Linked DNA regions of Schizosaccharomyces pombe. Changing the gene in region 2 together with the main gene of any one other region gives a genetic interaction. Each region holds a gene or a part of one and is shown on either strand. Other genes may lie near its edges.

Region 1 (5,338 bases), 510 kb from region 2:
GTTTATCCAGTTCCACCAAGCTTGCCTCGCCGCCAAAGACCAGTTTGGTGACAGTCATTCCGTTTTGAGAAAGAGAATCGACAATTTTATTGGCACAAATGTTCCATACGTTCTGGTCGGCAAGCACGACAGCTGATTTAGTGGCCCATTTTTTGACATACATATAGGATCTAGTGAAGGCATGACGACCCTGAACATACTTTTGAGGAGAGGTGAAAATGCGATCTTTGGATTCTTCAAACTCTACACCAACTTTGTGAGGCGTCTCCGTTTCAATAGGAGCATAAAAGCGTTTGCCCCAACGTTGTGCAACGGCATTGGAAGAGGCGAGCGCAAATACTTTAGAGTTCCTGTGGGCGAGGGAAACGAGAGGGAAGCGAGGGGTTGCAGCGCAAAGACGAGGACCAATCATTATGAAGGAAGTTCAAAGACTAGCTAAGCGTTACGAATAGAAATCGAATCAAATCGAAGAAAAGAGAAATACAAGAATAGGCGTGTGGAACGGTTCTTACCTTTCTTGAAATTTATTTCGATACAGAAGAATCCTTATTTAAAAAGAAAAAGGAAATAGGTAAAGAAGCACAAGTAACTAAGAAGGAGAGAAACGCAATGGAACAGAGGTCCAAAAAGAAAAAACAACTATATGTGTATATATATACTTGTTTGCGGAATCAATAGACAGTCGAAAGATCACGAAAGTTCCAAGAATGAACGGGATATATGATCTCGGCTGGCCAAAAAAAAAGGGATCGACGTAGTCAATGGTGATTGTCAAAACTAGAATCAGCCGATCGACGGTAAACGGGAAGAGTAGGAAGAATGAAAAGAGAAAAAATATTTAAAAATTAAAGCAACGAAAGTTGATTAAAAAAATAATTAAAGAAAAGAAAAAAAAACCCAAGTGGTAGTGAAAACTTGCTATGGTTTTATTTTACAATGGAAAAAGCAATTCTGTTAAAAAAAGAAGAGAAGAGAAGAGGTGGATGGATGGATGGATGGATGGGGGAAATATGGAAAACTGCGAAAGCAATAACCAAGAGCAAAGAATTCAGCGCTGCCCCTCTACATATAAACTTGATGAGAGGGCGATGACACCACACATATCCACCGCAATTGCCAGTTCCCCACTGCGGAAGCCAAACCCAAGCAGACAGGAAAATAACGTAACAAAAGATGAGGCAGGATAAACCCATGACTCGTTGGTCTCATAACTGCGTCATAGGGGCAAGAAAGACAACGTGGTATGCAGTACAAGACAAAAGCTTACTTGCTGAAAATCTGGGGAAATATATACAACAGCAGTCATTCGCCAGTTCCTTAATAAACGCTCGCTAAAATGACGCGACAAAAAATGAGGAGACAGGGATGAGCAGTGCCACTCAACGGCGAGGGAAAATGGGAAGAGTGGAGAGAAAGGCGGGGTCCTGCTACAATTAGAAAGCATTTGAAGAAAAAAAAGTGGATAAAAAAAAAACAAACAAATAAACAAACATTAAGAGAGACGAATAGTGGGGAGAGTGGTACAATTAGATTGTTTCTCCCCAAGATGGATAGATAATTTTACTGGTATCTGCCCCACCTTTTCCCATTGTCTCATTGAGATCCCCTCCATTCCAGCCCCAGCATTCTTCCTCTAGTCTGCAGTATGATTTCCCTGCTCCTCTTCCTCCAAAAGTTTTAGTGCCGACTTTAGATGATGAATGGCTGTCGTTGTGTCTTCGTAGTCTAATGCACTGTATGCATAGCGTGCATGACTTCGAGCAGATTGGATAGCCTCCAAGGCGGAAAACTTGTTCAAGGGGGAGGCTTTAGTCGGTTGAGATGGCCTTGATAGAGGGGCATTTGTTCTTGTTGTGGCTAAAGTTGACTTGCTGGAAAATGCTACTGACGGATCGATGGAGGTGGAGGTGGTGGTGATTGACGTAGGGGAGGGAGGCCGATGCCCATCTGATGTTTGCTTTGACTCAGGAGATAAACTTTGGATATGCGAGGAAGAGCGAGTGGAACGAGTAGGATCTATTGTTGGCAAATTTTCGGTTATTGATGTAGTTGAGGGGAACGTGGTAGGCTCATATGAATGGGAAGGTGAATTTAGTTGTGGAGCAGCCGGTGTTGAAGACAACGATTTTACGTCTGCTTCTACATTAGGCTCGGAAGATACGGCTGCAGACTTTGTAGGAGAGATGGAGAGCGATGCTGCTGGAGATGTAGTGGGGAGAGCAAAAGATGTTTCATGAGAAGCAGAGGCATTCGTTTCAACGGCGGCTTCTTGCGTAGGTAGGGTTGTGGAATTTGTGGAAGATTGCTGTAACTCCTCGGTCGCGTGGTTTGAGGGTGTTTTGGCCTTTCGTTGGGGATTTGCGACTTGGAGCGCACGTAACTTGCAAAATTTGATTGACTTGGTAATCTACGTAGCAATAGGGGTTAGTAGGGAACAAAAAATCGTTATAAGCATCATAAAGCATCGTTGTATAATACAAACGAGAGAGAAAAATACCGATAGGAAGGAAATCCTCAGAATGGCAAAAGAAGAAACGAGTCGAAAAAAAAAACACATGGTAATGTGAATTGGAAAAGACGATTTTGTTTTTGACAAAACAAAAATAAAAAATAAAAAAATTTCCAAAGAACCTTCATTTTTTCATTTTTGTTGATCGTGGTTTTCTTTTTTTTTTCTCCTAAGTTCTGCTCGTTACTCTTTTTCATTCCGTCTCACTTGCTCTCGCTGTTTTTGACTCACGTACCTGTTCCGTAGGTGGTCCCCAGATTCTCGACAACTCTAGAAAATCTCGGGCTGCCAAATACGCTTGCACATCTGGTTTCCCGTTTTTGCTATTTCTTTCGGCCTGGACAAGAACTTCTAGGGAAAACGATTCAACATACGCCTTTGCACTAGTCTCGTCACTCACATTCTCATTCTCGCCCAAATTTTTACGTAACTACACACGCCATAGAGCGGTTAGTACCACAGAAACATTTACATAGTTGGTCTCGTAATCCAAAAAAAAAAAAAAAGAGAAAAAACCCTCGCCAACATTTAAAAAAAGGAAAAGGATGTTTTCTAAACTTACATCTTCTAAATGCTCAATGAGTGACAGCAGGAAATCCTTGCATTCGTTGGAAACACCGTGTGAGCTGGAAAGCGCCATTTGAGCTGCCCAGTATAGACCTAGTAATAGTACAAGTTAGTGAATCAAGCAAATGAATATCTCGAATGATGAAACAAATTCCTTTGTGCTTATAATAGGGTGTATTATGGAAAGTAGTATTCCCTCTAGCGAAATGTAGACTATGAAAACTTCATCAACGTAAACAAGAGAGAAAAAAGGTTTAAGTTATTTTTTTATTATTTTATATTTTTCTTTCTCCAATTTTTTTTTTCATACACCCTTCCATATTACAAATTCATCACTTAGCTACTAAACACTTACTCCAATAAGCTATGACAGGATTGTGTGCCTCAAGTTCATTGAATCGTCTCACAAACGGTTGAATGGATTGTAATTCCTTCGGTATAGTATCTATTTGTATCATATTTTGTCAAATATCTCTCCTTTCAAGTTTCTGTACTTTTGGTTTGACAGTTGGTGGATTACAGATACCAGCTACATGATATAAAAAGGTAGATGAAGGTTAGGTCTACTCAAGTATTAAAACCATCAAGTCAATTATTCAAAAAACTCTAGTACTAATAGTTTTGACGTACAAACACTTTCTTTTCATTTGAGGGGAATCAAGTCGCATCGTTTTCATCGTGCATTTTTTGTGCCCCGCTATTCAGATTTTTCTAGTGTCTTGACATACTCTACCTATTCTATATCAAAATGATGATTTCAATAAGCCTTATAACTCATTGATTGACTAAAACCTATTATTTCTTCTAAATTTTCTCGTGACATATGCTCACTCAAACCTCACACTAAAGTGGTTGTCGCCGTAAACCTCTCGATTTTTCCATTCACCAACTACTTCCCATTGCATCGATCATTTGTAGCTAGGACGTATTTCTTATTTCATTTTCGCCAAACGGTTTCTATTTTTTTTTATTTCTTCGATTTTCATTTTCCTTTCTTTCATTCACCTTACTACCCTTAAAAATACGCTGGACAAACTACACATCATTATGCTCTTCCGTATTCCAACTTTATTTACGCTCTTTTTGGCTTGCTTCAGCCTTGTATCCGGCGTCTTTGGCTACTCACCAATGTTTGGATCCAACACGATTGAGTTAAATTCCAAAAATTTTCGTAAATTTGTAAAAGCAAAGGGCCCATCTTTAGTTGTCTTTTATGCTCCGTGGTGTGGTTATTGCAAAAAGCTTGTACCTACTTACCAAAAATTAGCCAGCAATCTACATTCACTCTTGCCGGTTACTGCTGTCGATTGTGATGCTGATCAGAATAGGGCCGTTTGCTCTCAATACCAGGTACAGGGCTTTCCCACTATAAAGTTGGTTTATCCATCTTCCAAAGGATCTTCTCTTTCCTCTACTGATTACAACGGTGATCGAAGTTACAAGTCTCTCCAAAAATTCGTCTCTGATTCTATTCCCAGTAAAGTCAAAATTTTGACTTCTGAGGCAAAAACTCAAAAATTCATCCAAGATGCTCAAAACTCCTCTAAGGTAATTCTCATTTCTCAAAAAATGAAGCCGACTTTGCTGTACAAATCTCTTTCAAATGAGTTCTCGAGCTTACCTTTTTCATTTATGCCTGCAAAAGCTAATGTGAATGATCTTTTCAATATTTCTGCGTATGTTGACACCTCCGATTTACCCATATTATTCATAAAACACCCCAACAATGGAACATCTTTTTTTTCAAATTCCTTAAATCGGGATTCTATTGTTGAATTTTTACAATCTTCAATTAAAGATAATAATTTTTCAGAATACTTAGCAACTTTTTGCTCAAAAAAATCCTGCATTATTACAATTCAGGATAAGGACTCGGATTCTGGAATAGACGAATCTATTAGGAAAAAGTACCCAAAACTTCACTTTGTACGTCTTGGTCGAAATACAACAGTAGCCGAAAGACTTGAAGATACATTGGACCTTGGTTATAGTGACACTTTTCTTCTCAGTCTTAAGAAATCTCATTATAATGCTAAGCCCTATGGAAAACCTTTACGCCGTTGGTTGGAAGATATCCAAGTACAACAAGCAGGACCTTCAGTGTCTTTGCCAAATGACCTCTTATCAAAGATTAAATAAACACACTTATTGTAATGTAATTTTGCACTTTGCAGTACAATATGTTACTCTCTTTCTACTCACTCGTTCTCGTCATTGCATTTTATATTTTGTGTGAAGCTTTCCTTTACATGAAGCTTAAGC
Region 2 (4,643 bases):
CCTCAAGAGAATTATTTAGTTGAATGGCTTCAATGCATTTTCCAGCTGAAGATAAAATGTCGGGGATCTTTGCTTCAAGTTCGAGGATATTTTGTACTTGCTGAGTATCAGAAGATGTTGATTTTTCACTAAAAAGATCGTCGTCACTATTAGTCATCGTTCAAATTTTGATAATTTATGTTATTGAGAGATTTATTAAATATCCAGTATTCACTCTCAATCGTACATTCCCGTCTATTCTTTAATAATTAGTTTGATTTATTAATGGAACGATTGCGCCTGCGTCCACAATTTCCAATAGCCAAAATAAATGAAAAGATATTAGAGAAAAGTGTAGTGCTGTGAAGTAAGTGCTTGCACTCGAATCTTAGCCATGTTGTAAATGAACGTATTAGGATTAATTGGTCATATATATTGGTACAATTTTTTCCTTAATTATAATATTATCTCTAAATTTGCTAAAAATTTATAGAATTGCAAACCGAGACTTTAAAAAATTTAGAAAAATGTATTTATTTTCAAATATCTAGTAACATCATCATTAAAGAAGCAAAAAATAAAATAATATATTTTAAATGAAAAAGGATAGCCAAAATTGCATTTTTTATCTATAACTCTACATCCGAACTCATTTCGATGCAGATATGTGAACATCTGATGGCTTTTCTGTCGGACGAGAACCAAATATGGAACTGCCAACACGAACAGAGTCGCTTCCATATTTTATAGCAAGGAGATAATCAGAACTCATTCCCATAGACAATTGTAAAGGGATACCGAGCTCATTTTGCAAAGACTCACGAAGATCTGAAAGAACCTGTACTGCGTTAGGAAGAGCAAAGATGAATAAAAAGGAAGAAAAAGGAAATAATCTTACCTGGAAATCTGGGTTGTGATCAGATAATTGAGAATTGGAAATAGAGCCAATAGTCATGAGGCCTTTGAGTCGCAAATATTTCATGTCTTGAACTTGCTTACAGAGTTCAAGAACTTTAGACGGAGTAACTCCTCCCTTGTTCTCCTCACCACTGGTATTTACTTGAATATAGACATTTAAGGGTAGTTGTAATGCCTCACGAGCGCTGTTTACCAAACGAGCCTTCTTTTCAGTATCAATGGTTTCAATACTGTACAAGTTTTTTACAGATGCAATTTTCTTGCACTTAGATGACTGTAAACTACCGATAAAATGCCATTGGACGTCGTCGGGCATCTATGGCACTGTTAGCCTTGTGAATGGAAATAAACAATGAGAACCACTTATTATCTAACTTAAAAAAGTGTTTTTAAAGATGGTAGGCATCAAAAAATAGATTACCGAAAACACATAATACATTCTAGCACTTACCAACTCTACTTTCTTTAGAAATTCTTGCATGTAATTCTCGCCAAAGTGCCTTTGACCAGCATTGTACGCTTCCATCAAGGTTTCAACAGGATGAAACTTGCTAACAGCTACAAGAAGAACCTAAAAGCCATTAAGGCAATTGTTAGTGATGGATAAAGCAGCAGGCGAAATTGGAAGATTTTTAGGGAATCCCAAAAATGTAAAAGTGAAAATATTCATTTTTTTAGATCTTTTCCTTCACCTCAGCTGACATAAACAACGCTATTTCAGATAAACCCATTTTAATCGAAGATATCTTTGCAACATTTTATTCTCGGCGAAGCATCATTTCCTTAAATATTATAAGCCTAAAAATAAAGTATTATATCGTCGAGTTAAATAAATCTTTCACGAAGCTTATTAGCTGAGCAGTATGACTTTATTCGCCTGGAGATCAGACATCCGAAATTCAATTTTACCAAGTACCCGAAAAAACAACCAAAATCACTCATACAAACTTACATTGCGGCCATTTGCAGATTGCTGGATTTGACTTCTAATTAAATCTAAACAGCTATGGATAGTACTCATGTTGAATGAAAGCTATTACTACTTTCTTAGTCAAATCCACCTGACAGTTAAATTACTCTGCTTAGGTCTCTTAGTTGAAATTGATTTTGAGTGATACAAAATGTGGGATAAAGAGTACTATATGGGGGTATAGCTATAGTCTCTTCTTGACTTTATTAACCTGGAGAAGCTTACAGAGAGTAATTGCTGATCAAAGTGGGAGGAAGAGGTACCAAATGGGGGTAATGATATTATATGTCACAGAAACAAGTAAATAAATAAACATTAATGGCTAAGAAACATTTAAAAAGAAATCACTAATAAAGGATTAATGTTAATTTGGCTACAAAACCGACGAATTGTAACCCATGTTGATTGACAAACCTCTCTTCTTTACAATGAGTACACAGGAGAGGAAAATATTAAACAAGAACGCTCTTTTTCTATTTTATCAAAAAAAAAAAAAAAATTCAGTTCAAATAGTTGATTGAACGAATGGAGAGTTTACAAGAGTGTTTTACTCAATGTTTAGATAATTGATACAAATATTCAATCATGGTAAAAAAGTTTCATAGTTAAAAAAGGTTTCTGAAACAATTCAAAAATCCATTGGGTTAAAAAAATTATAATAATTCAATATATTTTAAGAGAAGAAATTGCGTTGACTAATTTTCGGATGTATTCAAAGAAATCATGAAAAAAAAAACACAAAGAAATAGAAAATGAGAGCACAAGAGAATCAAAATTCTTTTAAAGAACTCATGTCCTTTAAAGAAACTCATTACTTTGTTCTAAGCGAAACGGTCGTTAGGGTTCACCATTGCTTTATTCCGTGAACAAAATTTCAAAACTATTGTACACGGGGAATCCACTGGTGTCTACAACAGGATCATTGCCAGGACGAACCACCAAACCGGTGTGCAACCCGACTTTTCTTGCAGCTTTCAACTCGTTGATATTGTCACTCAAGAAGAGCCATTCTCTAGGATTTGAGTTTCCCACAATTTTCACATAACTGCCACACTCAGTTTTAAGCCCTATAGTAGTATCGTAATATCCAGAGAAATACTTTAGAAGGTTTCCAGCATCTGAATGCTCGAAATACAATTTCTGAGCTGGAACACTCCCACTGGAGTAAATGTAAACACGCATTCCCAATTGCAAACTACGTTGAATAGCAGGAACAACATCGGGGAACAAGTGTGAAGTTAGTTCATTACTTTCATAACCTTTTTTCCAAATACGACCTTGGACCATTTTGAAGGAACGTTCTTTGCTTCCTTCAGCATGCAACTTTCGTAAATTTATCAAGGCCTCTTCAGGCGTTTTTCCAAGTTCTCGCAAGTTTTCATCACTTTCATAATTTTCATTAACATAACTTTCGTATCTTGAAGCAGCGTATGGAAACTAGCATGGGTTAAACACGATCTACATTGTTCTCAATAAAAAACTTCACTTACCAATTTGTCTTTGACAAATGAAATGCTACCCACAGTCCCTTCAATATCCAAGAGCAAATTTTTAACCATTTTTTGTAATAAAGAGATGCCGTACAACTCACTTTTCTTTTAGGACACAAGTTTTATGCAACTTTAAAGAAGTAAGATGTGCAGTAAGTAGGATTAGTACTTTGCGAATTCAGCTATGCATCACGTAAAATAATTTAAGATTACAATTGGAATTTTATTGGATTTTACTTTCTTAAACATATGGAAAAAGAATTTCAACAGCTTGCAGCTTTTTATTGAGAACATGCATTTGAATAATTATCTTATGCATGCCTGTCTTTTAGAATAGAAAATACGGACTAGTTATTTTTTAACCATTTTTTAAATTCATTAATTATTCATAGATTAATCGCGTACAATATATGTTTCTACCAAGATGTCTTTTTTTTGTGGTCAAGATTGATAAGTAGAGCTTATTACGAAACGAATAACATTTTAAGTTAAATAAATCTAAGGGATTTCATACAGACAAAGACTTTCTGTGTACGTTAAAGGAGAAAGGTGTACTAGGAGGATTATCAGGAAGCTCTTTAGCCATATCAACAGCATCAGCAGGTGAGCTCTTATTCATTACAAAAAGACCCTGCAATGAAGCCATACTTGTATTTTTTGGACACACTATATCACTTAAATCGTCAGCCATCTCTGGGGAGTGACCGTAAAAGCGAGTAAACATTTCGCGAACTTGTTCAGGTGTAGCATTTCCAAGATATGCTTTAACGTCAACGCGGCCCGGACGAACGAGAGCTGGATCAAGCTTTTCAGGATGATTAGTTGTCATAAATATAATCCTTTCGTCTGATGAAGTGACACCGTCGAGTGCATTTAACAACCCACTAAATGTAACATTGGCATGAAACCCAACTTCCCCAGATCGTTCCCTACCTTGAAATGCAGAATCAACATCCTCCAGTAAAACTACTGCCTTGGGAGGTACATTAGAAAGTAGATGGTTGAGACGATCGTCAGTTAAGCCTTTTTCAGCCAAGTTTAGAACGCATATGTCGTAGTCCAATTCACCTGCAAGAGCATATAAAAATGAGGTTTTTCCACTTCCAGGAGGTCCATAAAGAAGATAGCCTCTTCTATATGGAATTCCTCTTGTATCATACCATTGTGAATTTCGTAAAAAGTCATGAACGTCGTCTGTAATCATTTTTTTAACATTGCTTTCAAGTACAACACTAGAAAGCATCCTTTTTGATCTAGGGTGCCCGAAAGGCTTCCATTCAGTGGCC
Region 3 (4,418 bases), 2.2 Mb from region 2:
CTATACGTATATTGGGGAAACGATCGTGAACATTTTTCAACCCTTCAGGCGAGGCAATTACATTGAGGAAAATGATTTGTTCTTGTTTGCAACCCATGTTGATAAGAATTTCCATAGCACAAATAGCAGAGCCACCAGTGGCTAGCATGGGGTCCAAAAGTAAGACATAGCGTTTAGAAATATCTTCGGGAAGCTTGATGTAGTGTAACACAGGTTTATGAGTTTCCTCATCACGCTGTATCAAAATTTTTCCAATACGAACAGAACGACAGCATTCACGCAATCCTTGTTCCATACTTTCGCCAGCTCTCATAATGCTAACGCCGCAAATACGACCATCAAACATTACACCCTCGTATTCAGCATTTTGAGCAGTCGTTACCTTAGCTGAAGACACTGGCAAGTGGTTGAGGCCCTCTTCAACAATTAAACGAATGATTCTATTGGCATAAAAAATAAATTCAGACTAAATATCATGTTAGCAGGGATAACAGATTCAACAAAGAATACACGAGAAGTTGTCGAATGTACTAACTGATAATGAATGCTTCCTATCATCCACTGATAAACATTTATCTCCCCATTAATAGAGGAAAAAGCTAAAATTTCTTGGACATATTAACACATTCATTTCAATTAGTTCTTAGACCTTGACTCAGTAATCTGTTGTAAACTGAACGCGCATACACGAGGTTTCGTTTTATCACGAATGATGGTAAACAACCCTTTTAATTGATTTGTCTGATTTAGTACGTACACATTTCCATGCTCAGGTACCAGCGACATCTTTTTGACGATGTATGCTTAAATATCTACCTATCAAGTTGTTTACCAAGTAAATGGTAAAAAGTAAAAGCACAATAACACATTTGCTTTTAAGCTATCAATAGCAAAATGAGTTTTATCAACCTTAGTATATTTCGTTAAACATAAATAAAGATTTACAACATCATTTCATAATAACATAATTATGATTAATGCGTTACTTAGCGCAGTAAAAGATTTCTACTCTAGCAGGCTTGGCAAAATTAAATAAGAATATCAATTAACTATTGAACATATTTTAGGGCAAGTTGATGTTTTTAAATGAATTACTGCTTATATTTAAGAATGAGAAAGACAGTACAAATTTTTGAAGCACACATTCATACAATTGGACTCCATGCAGCTTACAATCTTAATTGGATTTCAATGTTTTTTACTTGTAATTCTCAATTCATCCAACTGTATTCACAAGAAACCAAGAAATGAGTTGTATTGTAAGGATTTTTAAATCAAATGCAGTAAGAACACATGAACATATTTTCATATCTCTTTCATTCTAGACATTTTTTGTACATGGAGAATACAATAAGTACAAGGTCGAAGTCAACCACACTCTAGGCACTCGTAATTCTTAGCCTGTCATAGTGAACAGCGATTCTACCAAACCAAAAACAAAGCAATGAAATGGCTATCTTGCCAATGAGCAAGATATCACACCCATATTGATGGTACATCCGAATACCAACAAATAAGCTTAACACTATCGTCCAATTGTCGGTTCATCAGATGGAATCTCGAAATTCGTATGTTCGACGTCTTTAAAAAGGACAAATATATACAAGAGCATGCCTAGATTTGTATACACTAAGCTCGTCCGGTTTTGCCAAATACAGCGTCTTGTTCATTGCAATGTAGTTAATACCTTCTTATCGCTTCAGAGAAATCTCTTAATTGAAACGACTGAGCATCAACGAAAATAAGATCACCATAAATGAACGGAAACTTTCAACATTTAAGCTCTGAAAAGAATCTTCCTTTTGCAAGTTAGGCCAATAGCAAAAAATCATTCCTTTTCTTCCTCATAAGCTGCTTCAGGGGAATAGGCTTCTTGATCATTTATATTATCAACCTCTTTAGCTTGATTTGCAACAGCATCACAAGCATCAATCCAGTCGCTGTATACGTCGATGGGTGCCGAAAGAGCTTGATAATGTTAGTAAATAAGTGTACAAGAAAATTTCATAAAAGAACAAGAAATAAGAAGATAAAGAGACGATATAAAAGAAATTAACCGCAATATTAATCGTAATAATTTACGTGCCGCTATTGAAATAAAACACCTCTTTCATACCTGTAATTAGACATTGATGACTCTGACCACAAATTTTGCAGTGTAGATTTCCAACTCCTGATTGTTTATCACTATCAAAGTGTTAAAAAAAATGAAAGTAGTTAATAAGCATACAGACTACAGCTCACACTTTTTTCGTGGTTGCAAAATAGGCACGTAAACTAGTAAAGTTAGTAAATTTCGTAATTAAACTATAACTCACAGTCGTATCTAATGGGGGTGCCCTTCTTTTGGGTTTCACTTTTGCTTTTGCTTTTCTTTTACCCATTTGCAGAATCTGTTTACGTTTTGCAAACTGCAGATTCGTATTAGCGGGTTCACATTAGCACTCTCATCCTTAGGAAGGGTAATGCGGAAACTCATGTAATTTCGACACTTGGTAAGAGACGGTCTTATTTAATTTTAATGAATTAAATGTTTAAATATGATATTCTTATTGAGTTTACTGATGCACATTTGTTTCTAGAGTTCTTTCTATTCATGATGATACTTTGCTGTATGAAACGCAAACGTAGGCATACCAGTCTTACAAACGAAGCCAGATCCTCCATAAGTAAATCTTGCACTCTTTCTCGCAACGTAGTTGACCTTCTATGGTTATTTTGTAAATGCGATAAAACTCTCATTGACTAACTAGAAATTAACGTAAAACATAATTGACTTCTCAGCATTCACGTGACGCCGATTAATTTGGAATTACTGAAACATCTTAGCATAGGCCTTTTGTTGGCGCTTCTTATAATCTTTTTTCTTTTGACGAATTTCTGCAAGCTTCTTTGAAATTGCAGGATCGTTACCAGCCTTAGCAAGTGCTTTCTCTGATTCTTCAAAATTCTTCAAGAGACCTTGAGCACAACCCAAACGATAGTATGCTTTCTGTTTCTCTAACTCAGTAGAGTTACTGGCCTCAATTACAATGTTGGCGTTTCGAATAGCTTCCTGAGGTTTGTTCTGCTTCAAAGCTACAAGGGCAAGGTTTGCGTATATGCTGTATCGTAAAGCATTATACTCTTTCCAGAAATCAGGGGATTCCTTAGAGTCATCGTTGGGAACAGGGTATTCCATTAGGTAGCGCAAAGCTTTTTGCCATTTGGCAACGGCTGTATCCAAATTTTGCTGAGCAAATTGCTTGTTAGCAATTCCCTTTAAGTCGCTAGCAATTTTGAAAATGGCAGTCTCGGACTTATCACCCTCGTAATCATCAGGAAATTCTTCCAGAGAATCACCAGTAACGTCTGGCTTTGGTGCCTCAATCTGATCCTTTGTGCAAGTTCCACATTCTTCAATAACAACAGGTACAACCGGATCGTCATTTTTGGTCTCCAAATTTTCAATGGTACGAACAGTAGATTTTCCTTGAATTACCTTGCCAAAAACAACATGCTTTCCATCCAAATGAGGGGTGGGAACAGTAGTAATGAAGAACTGAGATCCATTGGTATTAGGGCCGGCATTGGCCATGGAAAGCAAGAAAGGCTTATCATGCTTGAGCTCAAAGTTCTCGTCCTCAAACTTCTCGCCGTAGATGCTTTCTCCACCCGTTCCATTACCACGAGTAAAGTCACCACCTTGAAGCATAAAGTTCTTAATTACTCGATGGAACCTTGAACCTTTGTAGGTTAAACAACGGCCATCCTTCTCAAACCCATTACACAACGAAGCAAAGTTTTTGACAGTTTTGGGAACTACGTTGTCGAAAAGTTCAAAGTAGATTGTTGGTTGAATTTTACCATCAATGCTAATTTTAAAATAGGCGTAAGTACTCATTTCGTGCAAAAAAAAACAATGATCGTTTTTAAGTAATGATATTTCACTGCCAGTCTCCTCAGTGTATTCACACCACAAAGTTGCTTTAAGAAGAAGAATGAATAGCGATTTTACGCAGACGAAATATACAGATCTGTGCAAACTATTTAGTTTTAGTTATTAAAAAGGTGGTGATTTATATTTGCAACCTACTGCGAAGAGATTTTCTACGAAACTTCTAGAAACATACTGTATTAAAAAAATGCTAGCAGAAGAAAATTTGACTTTTTATTAGACCAAAAAATATTTATACTTTTTTCAATTAGATTGCTTCTTCGTTAAAAATTCATAAAATACCTGATTTAAGTTAGCACACACGGACTATAAAGAAATATAAGTGCTGTTGAGTGAAGTCAACAATGTATTTAAATTTTAAAACACAAAATTGTGTTTCCTAATAGTTTTAAAACATATTTCGATGAAGTCTTCAGGCAATGTAATTACTTACCGATTTGTCAATTGAAACATTTCCAACTGACTTCAATCTCTTTTTCCC

What was found. Genes that interact genetically often act in the same process or in processes that back each other up.
Region 1: mutations in SPOM_SPAC644.09 (region 2) and vta1 together harm fitness more than expected from each alone (negative genetic interaction), as found in Schizosaccharomyces pombe (one large-scale study listed by BioGRID).
Region 3: mutations in SPOM_SPAC644.09 (region 2) and SPOM_SPAC1B3.02C together harm fitness less than expected from each alone (positive genetic interaction), as found in Schizosaccharomyces pombe (one large-scale study listed by BioGRID).

Annotation. Positions count from the first base shown.
Region 1 is NC_003424.3:2,175,949-2,181,286, forward strand, and holds vta1 (Vts1 family protein), read right to left. Parts: upstream 3,590-5,338; 5' UTR 3,535-3,589; coding exon 3,432-3,534; intron 3,278-3,431; exon of another isoform or gene 3,170-3,277; coding exon 3,072-3,169; exon of another isoform or gene 2,940-3,071; coding exon 2,745-2,939; exon of another isoform or gene 2,408-2,744; coding exon 1,634-2,407; 3' UTR 1,040-1,633; downstream 1-1,039. Other genes in the region: glycerol dehydrogenase Gld1, read right to left, coding at 1-412; mpd1 (thioredoxin family protein), read left to right, coding at 4,124-5,215. UniProt on the Schizosaccharomyces pombe protein: Has a role in the formation of the multivesicular body (MVB). Required for the sorting of lipids to form intralumenal vesicles and for fluid-phase transport to the vacuole. Required for sorting several plasma membrane proteins into the MVB.
Region 2 is NC_003424.3:2,686,978-2,691,620, reverse strand, and holds SPOM_SPAC644.09 (pyridoxal phosphate homeostasis protein), read right to left. Parts: upstream 1,978-4,643; 5' UTR 1,919-1,977; coding exon 1,850-1,918; exon of another isoform or gene 1,570-1,849; intron 1,469-1,569; coding exon 1,349-1,468; exon of another isoform or gene 1,214-1,348; coding exon 878-1,213; exon of another isoform or gene 818-877; coding exon 629-817; 3' UTR 501-628; downstream 1-500. Other genes in the region: mediator complex subunit Med11, read right to left, coding at 1-157; utr4 (methionine salvage haloacid dehalogenase-like hydrolase), read right to left, coding at 2,723-3,304, 3,358-3,426; bcs1 (iron-sulfur protein assembly ATPase), read right to left, coding at 3,866-4,643. UniProt on the Schizosaccharomyces pombe protein: Pyridoxal 5'-phosphate (PLP)-binding protein, which may be involved in intracellular homeostatic regulation of pyridoxal 5'-phosphate (PLP), the active form of vitamin B6.
Region 3 is NC_003424.3:4,927,133-4,931,550, forward strand, and holds SPOM_SPAC1B3.02C (Elf1 family transcription elongation factor), read right to left. Parts: upstream 2,414-4,418; 5' UTR 2,385-2,413; coding exon 2,319-2,384; intron 2,278-2,318; coding exon 2,231-2,277; intron 2,188-2,230; coding exon 2,117-2,187; intron 1,969-2,116; coding exon 1,829-1,968; 3' UTR 1,040-1,828; downstream 1-1,039. Other genes in the region: SPOM_SPAC1B3.01C (uracil phosphoribosyltransferase), read right to left, coding at 1-466, 688-786; cyclophilin family peptidyl-prolyl cis-trans isomerase Wis2, read right to left, coding at 2,813-3,883; GTPase GUF1, read right to left, coding at 4,181-4,219, 4,371-4,418.